Regions from separate parts of the Mus musculus genome. Here all the other regions are reported to be linked to region 3. The links are microRNA targets in miRTarBase. Many come from high-throughput screens and were not tested one by one. Region 3 holds a microRNA gene; each other region holds the end of a gene's coding sequence.

Region 1 (5,912 bases), not on the chromosome of region 3:
ATCGGGTGTTTGCCTAAGACACACAGCAATTCCCTGCTGCCCCATAGTCTATCCTGATACCTTTCTTCTGGTGGCAAGTTCTGGAAAAGGCTTCAGCACCATGTCTCCCTCCCTACATTTCCTCAGGTTTTATCTCCAAACCTCCAAAAACTGGGCCATGGAGCCTAGCACAGCTTCTGGGCCACTCCTGGGGTGTGAGGCACCGCCCACATGTGTGTTTCTGGGACAGGCCGGCGGCTCAGAGAATAAAGGGTTATGAAACCAGGAATGTCCTGGAAAGGCAGGTTGTGGGGCCGAGCCGTGACCAGCCATGCAGGGCGCTGGATGCCATAGATGCTGTGAGGTTGAGGGGACCTGTGGGGATCGGGAGTCTGGGTCTGAGCTTCCAGGCTATTAAGCTTTGACCAAGTACCTTGCTATCTCTGGACCTCTGTTTGCTGACTAGGGTGTGATGTTTCTTCCAAGGCCGATCAGCACAAATGTGAATGAGGGCTTAGGCCCAGAGACTTGTGAGCCAAGTATTGTGAGGAAAGCGCCAATTGAGTTTATCAGTGACAAAGGGCAAATCGAGAGAAATCTTGTGCCAAGATCCGAGGGAGGAGGGTGTGGGAACAATGGTATGGGAAGAAGGGGTTCACACCAAATTATTCTTGAAAGTCAGGTTTGCGGGGAGGAGGCTCTGTCCTATGTCCTGGGAGGCCACTGGATCAATGGAACTGACGGGGAAGGAGGCCAGAGACAGACAGGCTGGGGAAGGGGCTCCAGAGGTGAGGGTCTGGCAAGGGGGAAGATGGTCTGTCTGGTGGACCAGGGTGGGAATGTTGGGGACACAGAGATGAGTATATGCACAAGACAGGCAGGCAGGAAGGACAAGGATGATGGCAGACTGGCATCTGGGCTGAGGCAGACAGGGAAGGCTAGGCTCCAGAGACCAGCACTGGGCAACCAGGGAGGAGCAGAGTAGCCCCACCTACAGCTTCTGCTCCCGACACACAGCAGCAATCTCTGTAAGTTGCTGAGCTGATTTCTGTCAACCTACACTCCCCTGCCTCCTTCAGAACCCTATAGAACCCTGGAGAACAGGGAGATGGGGAAACTGAGGCAGAGAGTCAGGAACCACTCCAGGCCAAACAAAGTGGTCCCCACTCCACTGACGCCTCCTCTCCCTACCCCAGGACCTGCGAGGCTCCGTGCAACGCATCTGTGAGTTCCTGGGCCGGCCACTGGGTGAAGAGGCCCTGAGCTCTGTGGTGGCCCACTCAGCCTTTGCTGCCATGAAGGCCAATACCATGTCCAACTACTCGCTGCTGCCGGCCAGCCTGCTGGACCACCGCCAGGGGGAGTTCCTGCGCAAAGGTACCCCTGGGTGCTTCTAGCCAATTGCATGGCTTTCTGGGCCTCCATTTTCCCAGAAGGCCTGTGGAATGTGAGAGCCACCCTAGACGTGTCTTCACTCTCAGCAGGAGGTCTGGCACCGCCCGCTGACCTGCCTCCATCTGGGCCTCTCCCTGGGACAAAGTGAGGCCAAAGCAGGGGCTCTAACAACATGAGTGTAAAGTCCCCAGGAACCTTTTTATTAGTTAACACTCAGTGCAGAGTAATTCAGTGTGGTGGTGCTTGCCTCTCAAACCAGCTAGACTCAGGTCAGCCCGCGATGCTAGAGAGGCTGTCTGTCTCGAGACAAAGCAGAGCTGCTACAGCACAGGATCCCCGGGTGACTCAGGTCAACCCCCTCTCTACAGATCCTTCCGCCATGTGGTTTCATGTTCTAAATTCCAAGACTTGGGAATCCCTCAGGGAGGCCCCTGAGCTCACAAGAGGTGACACAGCATGTAACCAAAATCTAACAAGCTATTCTAAAGAGCATTTTCCACACGGGCAAGAGGTGGACCCCTAGTAGTCTGAGGGACCAGTACTCAGGACTGCATGCTTGTGGAGTGCCTTGCTGAGACAGCTCACTGGCTGTGAGGACCTCAGACTGGCCCATTCATGTGAAGCCTCTAGATTGCCTGGCTGGGGTGGACCAGCCATCAAGTCGGAAGAATGTTGAGGCCATGTTGGGTATCTGAGGGGAACGAGGGGGAGAGAGCCTTGTGCTGGCAGAGACATGTCCCAGAGGAAGTGATGCAGGTTGTCAAAGGGGTGTTTGGGTGCCAAGAGGGAGGTGAGTTGTGAGAAGATATCTGGGAGGTCAGAGGTCAAAGGACAGGGCTGGTGTGGGGTCACCTAGGTGTAAGGGAAAGAAGCAGTATGCCTAGGAGGCTCTGGCCAGCTGACACAGGCGGCGTGGTTGGTCATGGTGAGGGAGGCTGAGGGGACATCCAACAAGGCTGAGACGGGAGCAAGGGGGTACCCCAACAGCTCCTTACTGGGCTCTTCCTCTGTCCCCTCCAGGGATCAGTGGCGACTGGAAGAACCACTTCACTGTGGCCCAGAGTGAGGCTTTTGACAGTGTTTACCGAGAGCAAATGCACGGGGTGCAGAGGTTCCCCTGGGACACGTCTGAAGAGGATAGCAGCCCTGATGGCCAGCCTGACCCTGAGCCCAGCCCCAGCCCAGCTTCTGATGACCCCAACCCAGGATCCTCACAATAAACTTATCACTCCAACCACTCCCTCCTCTGTGCTGACTTTCCGGGGCAAGCAGGGGGTGCAGGCAAGCAGGGGGTGCAGGCAGGCAGGGGGTGCAGGCAGGCAGGCAGAGTGGCCAGCCACACACCACACAGACAGAATGCGCCACACACCACACAGACAGAATGTGTGCATGCTGCAGAAGGCAGTGTGACTCGACAATCACCCCATGCTTGGGAGGTGGAGGCAGTGGGATTGCAAGTTTACATCTAGCCTGGGCTCCTCAGTGAGTATCATAGCAACAACATGAGATACAAGGGGAGGGGCCAGGGTATCATAGCAATAACACAAGATACAAGGGGCCAGGAGCCCAGCACTGAGCTTGAAGTCAGGATGCCAGCTCCACTGTCCCATAGGCCTGCACCCCTAGACCTGAGGGGAACCCTGGGTCTGAAGAAGAGCTAGGGGGGATGCTGGAGGCTGGACTCTGGAGCAGGAGGGGATGGGGCAGGAAGGCCATGGAGACGCGTGTCTGTGCTGTTGGAGTTTAATCCGAGTAGAATACAGGGACATGCTCTGAAGCCTTCCCTTAGCTCCCACAGAAAACTCCAGACATTGTCCAGTGTCTCAGTATCCCCGGTACTTTCCAGACCTTTGTTTTTTTTTTTCAGCTTTGCCCATCACCCCCCGCCCCAACCTCTACCCCCATTAATTCTCCTCTCCTGGACTCAACTTTATCTATGTCTTCTCTGTCGTGGGGTTGCCCCACTATCTCTTTATATAGTACATGGTGAGGCAGCTGAGCCTGTCTCTGCAGCAGTCCTGTCTGCTGCTCTGGACCTCTCTGCCCATTTCCCAGATGGCAACACCAAGCTCTTAGTGAGCTCACCCAATTCTAGAGCAATTAAGACCAGTCCCTTCTGCTGCCAAGATCCTAGACTACAGGCCTCACATACAGCCAATGTCTGGTTAGAGCTCTAAACTAGACCCATGGCTGGCCAGCCACATCTGGCCAGGGTTCCTGTCAGCGTCTCCTTCCAGAGCCTGAGCCAGAGGCCCAGTCTGATGTGGTGGCATTGTCCCCCAATCTCCTTTGGGCTGGGGATAGGTAACGCAGGCGGCGGGCTGGAATCGAGGGTAGGGGGCCACCCCAGGGCTGTGAACGGGAATCCATCTCAGCTCTGGGCCCACCTCCAGTGCCCCGCTGCCTCATCAGGGCCCTGGCTGGAGTGTCCTTGGAGACCCAGAACTTCTTGGACTGTAAAGAAAAAAAAAAAAAAAAAAAAAAAAGAAGGTGAGTAGTTGCTGGGGCTGAGCTGGTGGGGTGCTGGCATCACATGCTAAAGGCCCTGGGGTTGAGCCTCAGCATGATATAGACCAGTTATGATGGACACTGAGGAGGTGGCACGGCAGCAGGAGGATCAGAAGCTTAAGACCAGCCTGGACCACATAAAACCCCATCTCAAAATAAGGGGGAAAGAATGTTGAGACCATCAATAAGAATCTGTAACCTTAGTGCTGGAAGACAGGGACAGATGGATCCCGAGGCTCCGAGGCTGCCTGGCAGCCAGGCTATCAGCAACAGCCAGCTCCAAGAACAGTGAGAGACATGTCTTAAACGGTAAGGTGGAGAGTGACAGGAAGACCCCCCGGGAGTGACATCTGACCTCAATAGGCACACACCAGCAAACACTCCTACATACACAGGGACACACATACACAAGAGGAGGAGAGAATATCTTGGGGCCCAGAGACAAGGGAAAAGGGACAAAGGGTGAGAGACAAGGAAGAAATAAGGGAGGGGAAGATGATTTGGAGGGAGAGACATAGGAGTTAGAGGTGGAGGAGGGAGGAGTTAGAGGTGGAGGAGGGAGGAGTTAGAGGTGGAGGAGGGAGGAGTTAGAGGTGGAGGAGGGAGGAGTTAGAGGTGGAGGAGGGAGAAGGTAAGGGAAGAGGTGGATGGAAGGTACTTGGAAGGAGATGGAAGAGAGGGAAGGGGAGGAGGGAGGACAGGTAGAGGGAGGAGGGAGAGATGCCAGTAGAGGAGATGAGGAAGATGAAAGGAAGCCTCCAGAGCCTGGGGGACATAAGTGGGGAGCCTGGAACCCCAGACCTACATGGGATGCCTTTCCTCTTGCCGTGGAGCTGGGGAAGAGCAGGAAGCAGCTGTGGCCATCCAGGGGAACAAATATTTGCCAAGGGAGGAGAACCCCAGATGGAGGCGAGGCAAGGACCTTGACCTGGCCACTCCACTCCTTTTCCTTTAGGTCTAACTTCATAGACAAAGCTGACAGAAATGACTCTGCTCCAGTTACCAGGGAACAGATTGGAAGGCTGAAGCCAGAAAGGGTTAGCTCACTGAGGGACATAACTCCCTCGGCCTGGGTTAGCTCACTGAGGGACATAACTCCCTCGGCCTGCATCCTGGGTGAGGCTACTTGACTCTCCCACGCGGCTCTGCATCTTCTCATGCAACAACATGACTCACACAGAGAGAAACTGAGGCTCACAGACAGCCATTTCTGGCCCAGGACTATCCAAGCAGCTAAACTGGGCTCAGCCATACCCTCATTCTCCATAAAAATGCAGAGGGATTCTCAGTTCCCCTCACCCCCACCCCCTCCATTTCCCCAACACCCTCAGGACAGTCAGATGTAGGATGTCAACAAGTCCTTTGGGGAAACAGTCAGAGCTAAGTTCCAACTCCTCTCAGGTGCCTCAGTTTCCCCATCTGTGAAATAGGTAGGTTAAGTTTAACCAACTTAGGCATGGTGGTGCATGCCTGTCATCCCAATACAAGGAACGTGGAGGCAGGAGAATCAGTTTAAGGCCAGCCTCAGCTCTACAACTCTCTTTCAAAATGACAAGTGTTTCCTGCTTCTGGTGTCCCAGCAGGGCCCCCTATCTCTTGGCTTCTGTGTCTCAGTCCTCAGCAGGGGGGTCTCACCTCATTTTCACCATCACTTGAGCCAGAGAGCTGGGACAGGCGGCTAAGGTCCCATAGGGAGCGGCTGGGTCGGGTCGGGGGACCACTGGTTGTCCTGGTGCGCTGTACACTCCTCAAGATGTCACTGAGAGCTGGCCCCGTGGTGGTGGGGGTCTCCTGTTTGTCCCGCTCGAGGATGTGACAGGCAGCCAGGCGTTGAGCCAAAGGCCCATCAGACAGCAATGGGGCTACAGGGGCCACAGGACAGCGCAGGGCCACACGGTGTGGGCTTCGGGGCAGCTGTGGGCCCTCAGGAGGACTGAACAAAGGGCTTCGAGCCGGAGCTGCAGAGAGCGGCCTGGAGGCTGCGTACAGGACACGGAACTCCTGGTTGAAGGCATCTGCAATTTCTCCTG
Region 2 (5,912 bases), not on the chromosome of region 3:
ATTTAATTTCCTACTAGAAGAAAGCCCGACAGCTTCTGCTTGACTTTTCCTACCCTAATAACCTGTTGTCTAGATGTCAGAGACAAAATGACCATACATGCAGTCTCTAAGTGTGTCAGAAGCTCAAGGGAAATACCAGTGAGTTCACAAGTCTACTGTGCTTTCTGGCCTGGAAACTTGATTTGTTTATCATCTAATCACAATAACTCCCAATGTGGAAGGGAGACTAGTAATTGGGTCCAAACAATAAAACTGAAATGTAGACTAAGTGGTATTTGGAGTTTAAGCAATGACAGTTATAGTAAGCACTCTTACCATTTCTTTTTGTCCAATACTAGTTAAAAATCTGCTTAATAACATAGTGTCTAGTGTTAAGAAATATTTGTTGCATTTTTTAAAAGATTTATTTATTTATTATATTTAAGTACACTGTAGCTGTCCTCAGATACTCCAGAAGAGGGCATCAGATTTCGTTACGGATGGTTGTGAGCCACCATTTGGTTGCTGGGATTTGAACTCGGGACCTTCGGAAGAGCAGGTGGCGCTCTTAACCACTGAGCCATCTCGCCAGCCCCCAGCATTTTTTTAAGTAACAAGAATTTCATTCTGTTTCATGTGTTTCTTCATGTGTGTGTTTGTGGTGCAGGAGATGAATTCTTTTCTCATAATGAGCACTCCACCACCAAGCATCTTCTTAGGCCTGGTCTTGTTGCTATATTCTAGTAAACCACAAAGTCTTTTAAAGAGTAAATTTAAAACCTAAATTTTATGGTTTACACTAAGTACTTGTTCAAGAATTATTTAAGAAGCGTAGCAACGCCTAGATTTCAGCTAAGCTAGTAAATACTGGTGTAAGTCATCCTGGCCACAGGCATCTTTTCTAAGTGGCAGATTTACCCGTTGTATAGGAAAAGCAGGTAAGACCTTACATAAGGAAGTGGAAATGTGTAACTTGGCATAGACCTTTCACTTCACAATTTTGGTGGGTGCTGCTGTAGTCATTTCCAACCCTCCTAGTGGAAAATTCTCATGTTCCTCTAATGAAGTAGTACATGGGTGGCAGTATTTTAAAAGTTCTAAGTCAACGTTACCAGCTGGGTACTCTGAAACCCACCTGATAGATGTATTGCAATTAGCCAGTACTTTTTCTTAAATCAATTGAAATTGTTCTTAGACAATTTTATACATTCAAAATAGATAGTGGCCACTCTCGCCTTCTGTCCTGCACGGCCTCTCCTTTCCCCCTGATCTCTCACTGTGACCAGTGCTGTCTAGGTGACCATGCTTTTGAAGCTCTGCAATAGAGCATGGTGGGCTCAGCAGTGGGTACACAGCGAGAGACAGTGCTTCCCCCCCCCCCCTCTCAGAATCTACCAGTCGCAAATGGTTCAGAAGTAAATGGTAGGGCCCCTTGAGCCCCTTCCCCCACCTTGACTATTAATGAGGCCTATGTTAGATGGGTCCAGGGCAGGTAACAAGATTGGAGTTAATAATTTCAGTGATTGCATCTAGTCTAGAAAACAGCGTTTTGCAATCCCTCATCCCATCTTCTGGTTCTTAGTTCACTTCTGTAAGGCTTCTTGAGCCTTCGAGGGGTGGGATAATTGTCTTGTTTAGGGCTGTGGGTCAGAACTGTCACAGCTGCGTCATGGGGAGGCAGGACTCTGTATTCAGCACCACTCATTGCTGAGAGAGGATTCTCATATTATGGCTGGGAACCTTTTGTTTGTGGGTATAAGTGTAGATAGTAAAAGGTTGTTTGATGCAATGTCAACTTAGAGAACCATCAATATCAGTTTAACCATAATAAGCTCTCCACATGGCCTGACTGCCCAGGGCTTACGGTACCAGGAATGGCCCCTCAGCACCCTTCCCCTTCTCTGTGGAGTGGGCTGGGGCATTTTCATAGTTTTGGATGGGTGCAGCCATCCTTCTGGCCCTTCATTTACATCTAAACTAAAAGTTGTAAGGATTTTTGTATAATAAAATGGCCTATTTTAAAGATTTTAAACATTTCTTTCTACTTACACATGAAAAACTATTATTAAACTTGTCAAATCACAACCATTTTATTTTACATAAACCTAGACATTCAATTTTCTAATTGAATCAAATAATTTGGACACTTTATCAGAATACCCAGTAGAACATTATTTTAGAATTCTTGCCATTGAGGGATAGTATTCAGATCAGCTATCAGAAACAAAAATCAACACATTATTGAACCTGTGGGGCTTAAAAATGGAATGTTTTCCTTAGGACAATAAATAAACAAGATTTAAGAAAATTGAAGTGAACTTCAGCTAGGACTCATGTAGTTTGTAATAAAGGCAGTAGATACTCTCAAATATGGATTTCTTACTTGCTTTGTGCTTTATTACAGCAAGGGAATACAAGAAGAAGAAAAAAAGCCTACCATGACAGTTCTCCAGAGGACAGTACCTAACAATATCTGAGTAGCATGCTCAGCAGAAAGCACAGCCACACTGGAGGACATCAGGAGAACCCAGCTAAGTATTGCATGGTAAAAATGACTTCAAACTATTGGATGAGTGTAACTATATGCCATGTTACTGGGCAATGAAGAAGCCCAACGCTATTAGTTTCAGGAAGAGCAATGTAATAAATTTAGCCACACTACATGTCACCTTGCTCAGCCATGCACAATGCTAAAAACGAGTTTATGACCAATAAATACTACAACACTTGTTTATTAGGAAAATGTAAGGTGCTATAGCCATCCTTTCCAGGCTATTGAGAGCAGACGGTAGCATTGTATTCAACAGTTAGTTGAATGTGGAGGTTTCTCCAACTGTCAAAGATACAACTTTTATCTTAAGCTCTTACAGATTTTATTGCCATATACAAAATAATGGGTAAGCTATCCCCCTTTCCTCCCTTAGAACTGACTTTTACAAATGACATTAATTTGTTTTGCGTGGAGGTGTGGAGGTAAGAAGACAATTTTGGGAGTCAGGTCTGGTCTCTAGGTCTCAGGGACGAGGTTCAGTTATCAAGGTAGGCAGCAGGCGTCTTTACCCACTGTACCGGCTGGTTTTGTGTGTCAACTTGACACAGGCTGGAGTTATCACAGAGAAAGGAGCTTCAGTTGAGGAAATGCCTCCAAGAGATCCAACTGCAAGGCATTTTCTCAATTAGTGATCAAGGGGGAAAGGCCCCTTGTGGGTTGTGCCATCCCTGGGCTGGTAGTCTTGGGTTCTATAAGAGAGCAAGTTGAGCAAGCCAGGGGAGGCAAGTCAGTAAAGAACATCCCTCCATGGCCTCTGCATCAGCTCCTGCTTCCTGACCTGCTTGAGTTCCAGTCCTGATTTCCTTTGGTGATGAACAGCAATGTGGAAGTGTAAGCAGAATAAACCCTTTCCTCCCCAACTTGCTTCTTGGTCATGATGTTTGTGCAGGAATAGAAACCCTGACTAAGACACCCACTGAGTCATCTCACTGGCCTTAGGACTGACTTTTAAAATTATGTGGTGCTGGGGTGATGCCTCAGTCAGGACCTTACCTGCCGTACTACTGTGAGGAGTTGGGTTCAGATCCTCAGACTCATACAGAAAGCCACATTCAACAGTGAATGCTGTCAATCCCAGCACCAGAAAGGAGACAGGAGGATCTCTGGGGCTTAACGGCCATCCAGGACCACTTAACTGGCAAGTTATTGATTCAGTGAGAAACTCTCTCAAAAAATAATGGTAGAGAGTGATAGAGAAAGACACTTCATGCTGACCTCTAGCTGCTTCATACACACGCTCACCCCCCCCCCCCACCGCCCAACAAGCTCACAAACACTACTGCACCTACACACACAGAGAGAGAGAGAGAGAGAGAGAGAGAGAGAGAGGCTCACAAACACATACCACTCATATACCACACACATACACAGCACTTGGAGGGTGAGAAGGGGAGAAACTGGAGATAATTTTATAATAAAAATACATCCCCAAAGCAACAACTGAAGATGCACACTGACAAACCCAACTATTCTTTACTTTTGGCAAAAGTGTATGTAGCAGTAGTAGTTTACAAAAATAAGTTAGTCCTCTGGTATACACATTTTCACAGTTTGAACAGGAAGTTAGTTTCCACTGTCTTCCAGAGTATCCCCAGCACACATCAGCCTTCTGCACCCTGCTGCTCAGAAGACACTTTCAGGGTGGATCTGTTCCGAATCCGTTTCCTTTTCCTTTTCTTTTCGGAAGCAGGGGACTTTGTATCCTGTGCTTTCTTCTTTTTCTTCAGGCAGCTGAGAGGATTGGGGCCGCCCACCTTCTTCTTTTTCCTCCTCCTCCTCCTCAGGTCCGGGTTCCGCACCAGGCCTTGCTCCTCCTTCAGTTGCTTGATACTCTGTTTCTCGTGCACTGAGACCAGCTGACCCGCCTCGACCGCCTTCACAAAGGCCACTGTTCTGGGAGAAGGCTTGTCCAACACTATAGTGTTCTGAATAATGAACATGAGAGGAATTCCAGGAGTCCTCTTGACTTTCACAGATAAGTTCTGATCCTATTAAAAAGGAAAGGGGTTTGGTTTCTCAATCAAAATTAGAACCTAAAATTAAGTTTCTATTAAAAAAGGCTAGATGGGGAAAAAAAGAACTATATGTTTTCTTTTTCAGATGACATGTCTTATTAATCAAAATGTATCTTACGGTAGAGGACAGAAAACATAAAGACTAAGCAGAATGAAGCCACTCAACAGCAGTCGGGGCTGGATCAGTCAACACTCTGGGCCCACGAATTATCAACCAATGCAACAGAAAATACATTAGAAACTTTCTCTTGCCTTTCCACTAGATATTCTCTCGAAACATCGACAAGGGAAGAGGTTGGAGCAGAGTAATAAGCTGACTCCACAATCATATCTGTATACCTCATGTGTGCCTAGGTGGCCGTAAGATGGCGGTGGGTTCCTTGAGACTGTAGGTACACATGGTTGAGAGCAGCTGTATAGGTGTTGGGAATTAAACCAAGAGCAGCCAGCTCTTAACCCCTGAGCCATCTCTGCAGCCTCCTGATGCTAATCTCAGAGCACATGCACCATGAGCTGAGAAGCAGGAATTCAGGAACATGCTAGGTTATGAGTCCAGAAGGCAGAGACTGCCCGACTCCTCCCTGCTTGAAGAACCGTGACGCAATCAGCACACTACTGCAACAGCTCCTCAGCCTCTAGAAGGAAACTTCTGAAGGAAAAAAAGTCCCCCAAACTTAGTCTCCTCCTCATATGTTCAAGTAAGTACCTTTATTGATCCCATTTTAAAATGTACATTTTTAAAAGTCCAAACAATGAAACATGAATTAGCTAAGTGACTGGAATCCTCTCTAATACACCACAGTAAGTAAATAAATAGAACTTCAAACACTACATTATCTCTCCCACTTACTTTTCTTTGTACTGCAAACAGAGCTGCATGAAGTATATATAGAGGTAGTTAAAACTGCCTTACAGTTTTGAAAGTAACATTACCTGTGTGGCCACAAAATAATGATGAGGGTTCCCCTCATCCACCATGGACAGGAGACATTCAGACCCACTCACTGGGCTCTTGAAATGAGGACAGTTTCGAACCTGGCATTTCTGTGCAATCAGTTTTGCTCCATATAATTCCTTTCCCAGTGTTTCTAACTCCTTTAACACACATCTGGGGAGAAAAAAGTCATTCAGAGTCCAGAATCACAACCAATACATTCCTTCTGTTTATACAAAGCAAGCATAAACACAATACTCAAGTTTTTAAGGTGGAAAAACTATTCCATAAAAATGTGACGGGGGAACGCCAGGGCCAAGAAGTGGGAGTGGGTGGGTAGGGGAGTGGGGCGGGGGGGGGGGGGGAGGGTCTGGGGGACTTTTGGGATAGCATTTGAAACGTAAATGAAATAAATACCTAATTAAAAAAATAA
Region 3 (5,912 bases):
TCATGGGGAGGATCCCAGGTTCAAGGTCAGGGGCTCAGCCTCACTCAGCACTTCCTCCTGTTGCTAAGGAGGCTCCAGTGGCCCCCCACTGGAACCATTCCCACAGTTGGCCCCTGAGATCCTTGCCTTAAAAAAAGCTATCTTGAGGGATACTCTGGGATGGGGAAGGAGCTCCTAGGGGTAGAGGGAAATTGAGCAAATAGTCCCTTACTCACAAACTCTATACTTCCTACCCAGAAAATCTGCACACAAGCTAGGAGTATAAAAACAAGGGCCCCCTCCCACTGTGACCTCAAAGATAGTGGGCAGGTGCAATGAGCAGGGCCCTCACGCCCAAGGGCCCTTTCTTAACTCTGCCCTTTATATCTTGCCTGGAAATGTACCCCTGAGTTAACCTCAAGGGGCCCTCTTTGGCCTGAGAATGTGTCAGACCCCTGGATACCCAGCATGACACCTCCCCCTACCTGCTTTCAGCTCTTTGATCCCATCTATACAGGATCTATAAGCTTGGGTCCCAGAAAAACCCTACTTAGAACGCAAGATTGCATCCCTCCACGCCCCCTCCAGCCTGCACTGGGGTCACTGTGTCCTTATGGGTCCTAAGGGGCCTCATGACAAGGAATCTACCCCTGACGGTAGCACCAGGAGATCATGGATAGGATCCCAGGTTCAAGGTCAGGGGCTCAGCCTCACTCAGCACTTCCTCCTGTTCCTAAGGAGCGTCCATAACCTTAAGGTGGGACTGGGGTCCTATTGGAGGAGAACAAACGTACCAGTCCTGTACCCTCACTTAGTTTACCTGGGCACCTCCAACAAAACTGGGCCTCAAAACAAAACAAAACAATCCTGTCCCTGCTTGGTGAGGACTTCTCTGGCCCAGTGAATGCAGAGATGACTTAGGTCAGGACTACTGCCAGGGGCCCCAAGGCCCTGAGGGCCCCAAGCAAGTGAGAGTGAAGGAGAACTCAGTGAGCCAGCAGCCCGCCAAGAGGCTGCCAGTGATGTTGACTGCAGAGGTGCGTTTACCCACAGCCCGCACGAACACAGACCATAAAGGACAATAAAGGCCCGCAGGCCTACCAATCTACCCAGCAGGGATTTGTCCCCATTAACAGCAAAAGGAGGTGGTCCGGACTGTGAAGAGAGCTGGTGACGTGCTAAAACGTGCTAAAACGGTAGGTTATCAGGTTATCGGCGGAGCCACTTATAGAGATTGAAAAACACAACACAAACCTTTTTTTTTCTCCTGGGGAAGAGAAAAGAAAAGAAAGAAATTGGTGTGAAAGTTCCTGCTAGGGGATGATAACATCACTTCCAACCCTGTCAAGGTGAAAACCAGAGGCCAGGCCCTGGCTGCAGACTCCACCCACCAAGGAGCTGCCCCCACTTCCCAGCTTCAGTCCCCAACCAGAGAGCTCTGACAGCATCCAGGAACAAAGAGGAGCAGGGGCCCTCCCTTGCCCACCTTCCCTGTCCTCTCCATTGCTTCCCCTTATAAGATGTCCCTGCAGGTACCAGAGCCAGTGACAGCACACACACAGGACCCTGAGTCCAGAGTTTTACCAGCTCCTCACCAGGCTGGAGCAGAGATCTCCACATGCCTGGGTAACCTGGGCTAACTTGGGCTACCCCCATAGTAAGAAAAGGAAAAGAAAATATTACCCACCCCTCAACTGTCCCATACACCTTAAGCCCTGGTGCTGGGCCCAGGGGACCACATCGTTAGACACGATCTGAGACCTGAGCAGCAAACCTCATCTGGACTTTGATCCACCTGTGTGAGCTGAGAGACACGCATGACCATCTTGCCACCAAGACCGTGCAGGAGCACAAGTAGGAAGAAGGAGATTGGGGGCAGAGGGGGGGACAGGGAAGGGAGAGACAGTGGTGAAGGGGAGGGGGACTGGGTGTGGCCTGGGTCCTCCCTGTCCTGCCCTCAAATCCTTTCACAGCTTCCAGGCTATTCACTCAGGGTGCTCCTGTGTGCCGGGGCTGGCTGCCATAGCTGGTAAATGCAGTTAATAATGGTGGTGTTGTGGGGATGGAGATGGGCCCTGTATGCATGCAATGACCTAGGTATTGGGGTTCAGACTCTACGCCAGCTGCTCATTGTGCTACTGAAGTGTCTGTGGGCACCCGGCCTGGGAGGAGGATGAACAGGGATCTTCTGCACTCCTTAGGGGATCCAGAGTTTGAACTGAATGAGGTGAGACGTCTCCAGAAGGGCTCAAGGAGAGAGTAAGAGGCCGCCTGTAAGGGACCTCAGCCTCCTGGTCATAAAAACATAATCCTGGATAGAGGCAGAGGCCCCTCAAGGAGACCCTGTTCTGGGAGCACTGGTAATGCTCAGCCCTGCCCTGTCTCAGCCCTGTGCCCTGCTCTAGTAACAAAGACCCCATCTCTCAAGGATCCACCCTTTCTGCTAGGAGCTGGGTCCCCTCAGAGGACCTCCAGGAGAGAACGGCTCCTGGAATCCCAGTGGGAGGAGCCCCAGAGTAGGCCCAGGATCGACCTCTGACCTGTCTACCCTTGGCCACAGAGTCAGAGGGTGACCCTTGGCCCAGCCCCAGGGAATGTCCCACCAGGGGTATAGCTCCCCCGCCAAGGAATGATCTCAGGTATGGCCCAGCCCCGGGTATTCCCCTCCAGGAACTGTGGAGAATGGCGAGAAAGCATGCCAGGGGAAAAGAGCGAGCTGAAGACGCGTCCCTAAGCGGCCCAAGGTGCGCGGAGGAGGGTCCGGAGGCCTCACGCGGTTGAAGGGGGTGAAGAAAGGCATCATATAGGAGCTGAATGGCTGTGCAATCAACTCCTGCATGACGCCGTTCCCACCCCCCAACTTCTCACTACACTGGGACCCTCCTCTCCTGAAAAAGCAAGGCAAGAAGCACAGACAACAGGTAGGACAGACTCCCAGGGCTTAGTGTTAGAGGAAGGAAACCAAAGGCCAGCCAGCCCTAGGGCACCTGCAGCACAGTGGAAGCATCTACCCTCCTTGCCCAACCTCACTTCTTATAAACTCTCATGGAGTGACTGGAGCCAATCCAGGGGATGAGGAGGGGGGAGAGGGAGCAGAGGGATGGGAGGGAGAGAGGAGGGGCAAGGGAGCACTGAAGGAGGGGTGGGGAAGCGGAGAGGGAAGGAAGGGTGACTGTGGTCACAGGAGTGTCCTGCTAAGGTCCATCCCGAGTATCCAGTGGGTTCCTCTGCAGACCTAGAAGGGACTCATGGGAACCAGCAGGAGCTTAGACGCCCCAGATGGATCCCCCAAAAAGATGCATGGGTTAAAAGCTACTCAGTGTGGTGAGGGGACAAACTGCAGGTACAGCTAACAACCGCTCCCCAGGTTCTTTGAGTGTCAACTTGAGTTACACTCCTCCATGAATAACTAAAAACCACAAACTGCTTTTGCTTGCCTGTTAGTTTTTTTGTTTGTTTGTTTGTTTTTGAAACAGGATCTGTGTAATCCAGAGTGGATCCCGACTTCTCCATCTTCCTGCCTCAGGCTTCCAAGTGTGGCTATGATTGACAGGCCTCTGTCACCATGGCCAGCTTGAATGGCACATGTGTATCACCTTACATATGAATAAAGTAAAAAAAAAAAATCTTTCCTGACTTGTGCTCTTCTCTTCCTTGTCTGGCACACCCACCAACTGCCAACAAACACTTGTCCCAGCATAGTCTCAGAGAGCAGGGTATAAAGAGGTAGTATGGGGGTGGGAGGGAGTAGTAAGGATGGGAGGCCAGAAGACAGGTGAACACAGGTGGGGAAGGGAGGACTCGGTGTTAAGCCAGGGAGGAAGGGAGCTGCACACGACATGTGAATGACAAAGGGTTAAGGCAGCTCAATGCTGTGGTAAGATGCTGCAGATGTCAGTGGGGCAGGGGAGAGAGAGAAGGGGGGCTCAGGGCAGCATGTGGAACACAGCTGCACATCATCCAGGGCAGAAGAGGGTTGCAAAGGGACATGTATGTGTATGGGAGCATAGGGACATGGCTCACGGGAAGCAGGAGGGTCTCAGGGTGACGTATGTCACAAGGGAGAGATGAAGGATATGATATCCCACGCAAAGAGGGGGTCTTCATGTCATAAAGAAAAGAACAGGGACATCCCATGATGCCTACCTACACAGGGGGGTGTCAGTAACATATGGAGAGATTAAGGGATTAAATCTAGCGGATGGGGAGTGGTCCAAGGCTATACATGGGGGAGAGAATCCATGGTACAGGGGAGAAAAAATGTAAATGTGATGTGCAGAGGAGGGGTAACATGACACATAAAAAGAGGAGGGGCTCAGTATGACTCTTGTACAGGAGAGCCTATGACTCCTGAGAAAGAGACTGGGCTGCATGTGGGACATAAGGAGGAGGGGCTCTGATAGAGGAAATAGGGGCTCGGTGTGACATCTGTCAAGGAAAGTGTTCATCACAAGTGGGGAGAAGGACTAGATGTGACACCTATGAGTTGCTTTGTGACCTGGAGGACATGCACGTCACAGTGTGGTATGTGTAGAGGCAGAGCGCTCCATGTCACAAGGCAAGGGGTGGATGTCTCAACGTGCTGCGTGCAGAGGTGGGGCTTCCCAACATGAAGAGAGAGCGAGAGGAGAAGAGTTCCGTGTACCGCATCTGGAGCACCAGCAGGGTTTGTGGTGACTAAAAGGAACGAGGGCTATGGGACACATGATTTAGGGGCCCTCTCACGATGGAGGAGCTCAGAGTCAGGGAGGGGCCTAAGGTGAATGGGGAGTAAGTGGGATGAAGCTCGGGTGCACAGGGCACACGGGTGGGGCTAGGCTAAGCATGACACACGTGGGGAGAGGTGTTCTCTCTCTAGGACACATGGGTAGAACTCAGGTGACCACGACAGGTGTGAGAGGGGGCATACAGAACGTAGGAAGGGTTAGGCTAAGCATGACACATGTAGAGGAATGGTGCTCTTCAGGACATATGGGTGGAGCTAGGCAAAGCGTGCCCCATTATGGAATTTTCTCTTTAAGACACATGGCTGACAATAGCCTAACCCTAACACAGGATGACAAGAGGAGAGGACTCAGTGTGAGGCCAGCAATAAGACATAAGAAATGTTAACACATGAACACAGAGGGTCTTGGAAGTGCAGCCTGATGGGAGGGGTCTGTCCAAGACAAAGCAGGTGTAGTGGGAAACCATGTAAAGATAGGGAAGAGAAACTTACTCTGACCCAGGTAGGGGAGTGGAGCTGAATGTGATACCCGTGGAGAGATGAGACGCAGTGTGACTCAGGACCCTTGTTGTGATTCATGGGTGGTGGGAGGGGCTCTGTGTGTGACATAGGTGTAGAAAGTTTTGACATGTAATGGGGTCTAGATGAGAAACACTTGGAAAAGAGACACAAATGTCTTGTGCGAGGGTAGAGAGCTCATAACTCTGAGTGCCACTGTTGAAAAGGGACTTAGCCTAACACAAAGGAGAATTGAGGAACTGTGGGACACACGGCCAAGGAAAGACTTAGGATAGCACAGTGAGGACCAGTTTGATACCTAGGTGGCATGACCCCATGTGATGAACAGAAGGAGAACGGTTCTGTGAGAAAGGTGTGACAGGTGACCGAGGGGAGTCTGTGTGAGAGGAAAGGGGTTCAGTGTGTCACAGGAAAAGAGCATGTGAGGCAGGAGTAGAGAGACACAAGGAGGCAAGACTCCAGGTGTCAGGAGAGGTGGATTGTGCTCATGGTAAGAAGCATGGAGAATCTTTTCTGTTTGAGGCACATAGGCTGGAGCATGGTATGACAAATGGGGATGAGAGGTTCAAAGTGACACAGGGGAGGACACACAGGAAGGTAGTGCTTCATGTGGCACATGGGTACAAAAGGGGCTCGGCATGACACACGCATGGGTGTGACACCTGGTGGCAGAGGGGGAATTGGTGTG

What was found. Region 3 holds the annotated microRNA mmu-miR-337-3p (UCAGCUCCUAUAUGAUGCCUUU, at 2,772-2,793, opposite strand). A microRNA usually pairs through its seed, bases 2 to 8, with sites in the 3' UTR of a target mRNA and lowers its output. Matches are read on the target gene's strand: a 7mer-m8 pairs with bases 2 to 8, a 7mer-A1 pairs with bases 2 to 7 and ends in A, and an 8mer does both.
Region 1: miRTarBase lists Fam83e as a target of mmu-miR-337-3p. The part of its 3' UTR that is shown has no 7-base or 8-base seed match.
Region 2: the mRNA of Utp23 is a reported target of mmu-miR-337-3p. Seed matches in the 3' UTR shown: 8mer at 3,290-3,297.

The regions. Positions count from the first base shown.
Region 1 is chr7:45,726,682-45,732,593 of GRCm38, reverse strand. Fam83e (family with sequence similarity 83, member E) reads right to left here. Exons shown (of 5, transcript NM_001033170.4): 4 at 5,518-5,912; 5 at 3,102-3,828. The coding sequence ends at 3,595. Sult2b1 (sulfotransferase family, cytosolic, 2B, member 1) reads left to right here. Exons shown (of 6, transcript NM_001360784.1): 5 at 1,176-1,356; 6 at 2,395-2,611. The coding sequence ends at 2,594. Among named protein-coding and RNA genes, the nearest start is that of Spaca4, 3.8 kb to the right of the region's middle.
Region 2 is chr15:51,880,757-51,886,668 of GRCm38, reverse strand. Utp23 (UTP23 small subunit processome component) reads right to left here. Exons shown (of 3, transcript NM_030132.5): 2 at 5,479-5,653; 3 at 2,047-4,518. The coding sequence ends at 4,132. It overlaps Gm34678 (a long non-coding RNA gene), which reads left to right. Exons shown (of 6, transcript XR_003951502.1): 6 at 2,384-2,396. Among named protein-coding and RNA genes, the nearest start is that of Utp23, 6.3 kb to the right of the region's middle.
Region 3 is chr12:109,582,731-109,588,642 of GRCm38, reverse strand. Mir337 (microRNA 337) reads right to left here and starts at 2,854; the gene lies at 2,758-2,854. It overlaps Mir3544 (microRNA 3544), which reads left to right and starts at 2,770; the gene lies at 2,770-2,830. Mir540 (microRNA 540) reads right to left here and starts at 2,563; the gene lies at 2,497-2,563. Mir665 (microRNA 665) reads right to left here and starts at 2,329; the gene lies at 2,236-2,329. It also overlaps Mir3070a, Mir3070b and a transcript of Rtl1 not described here.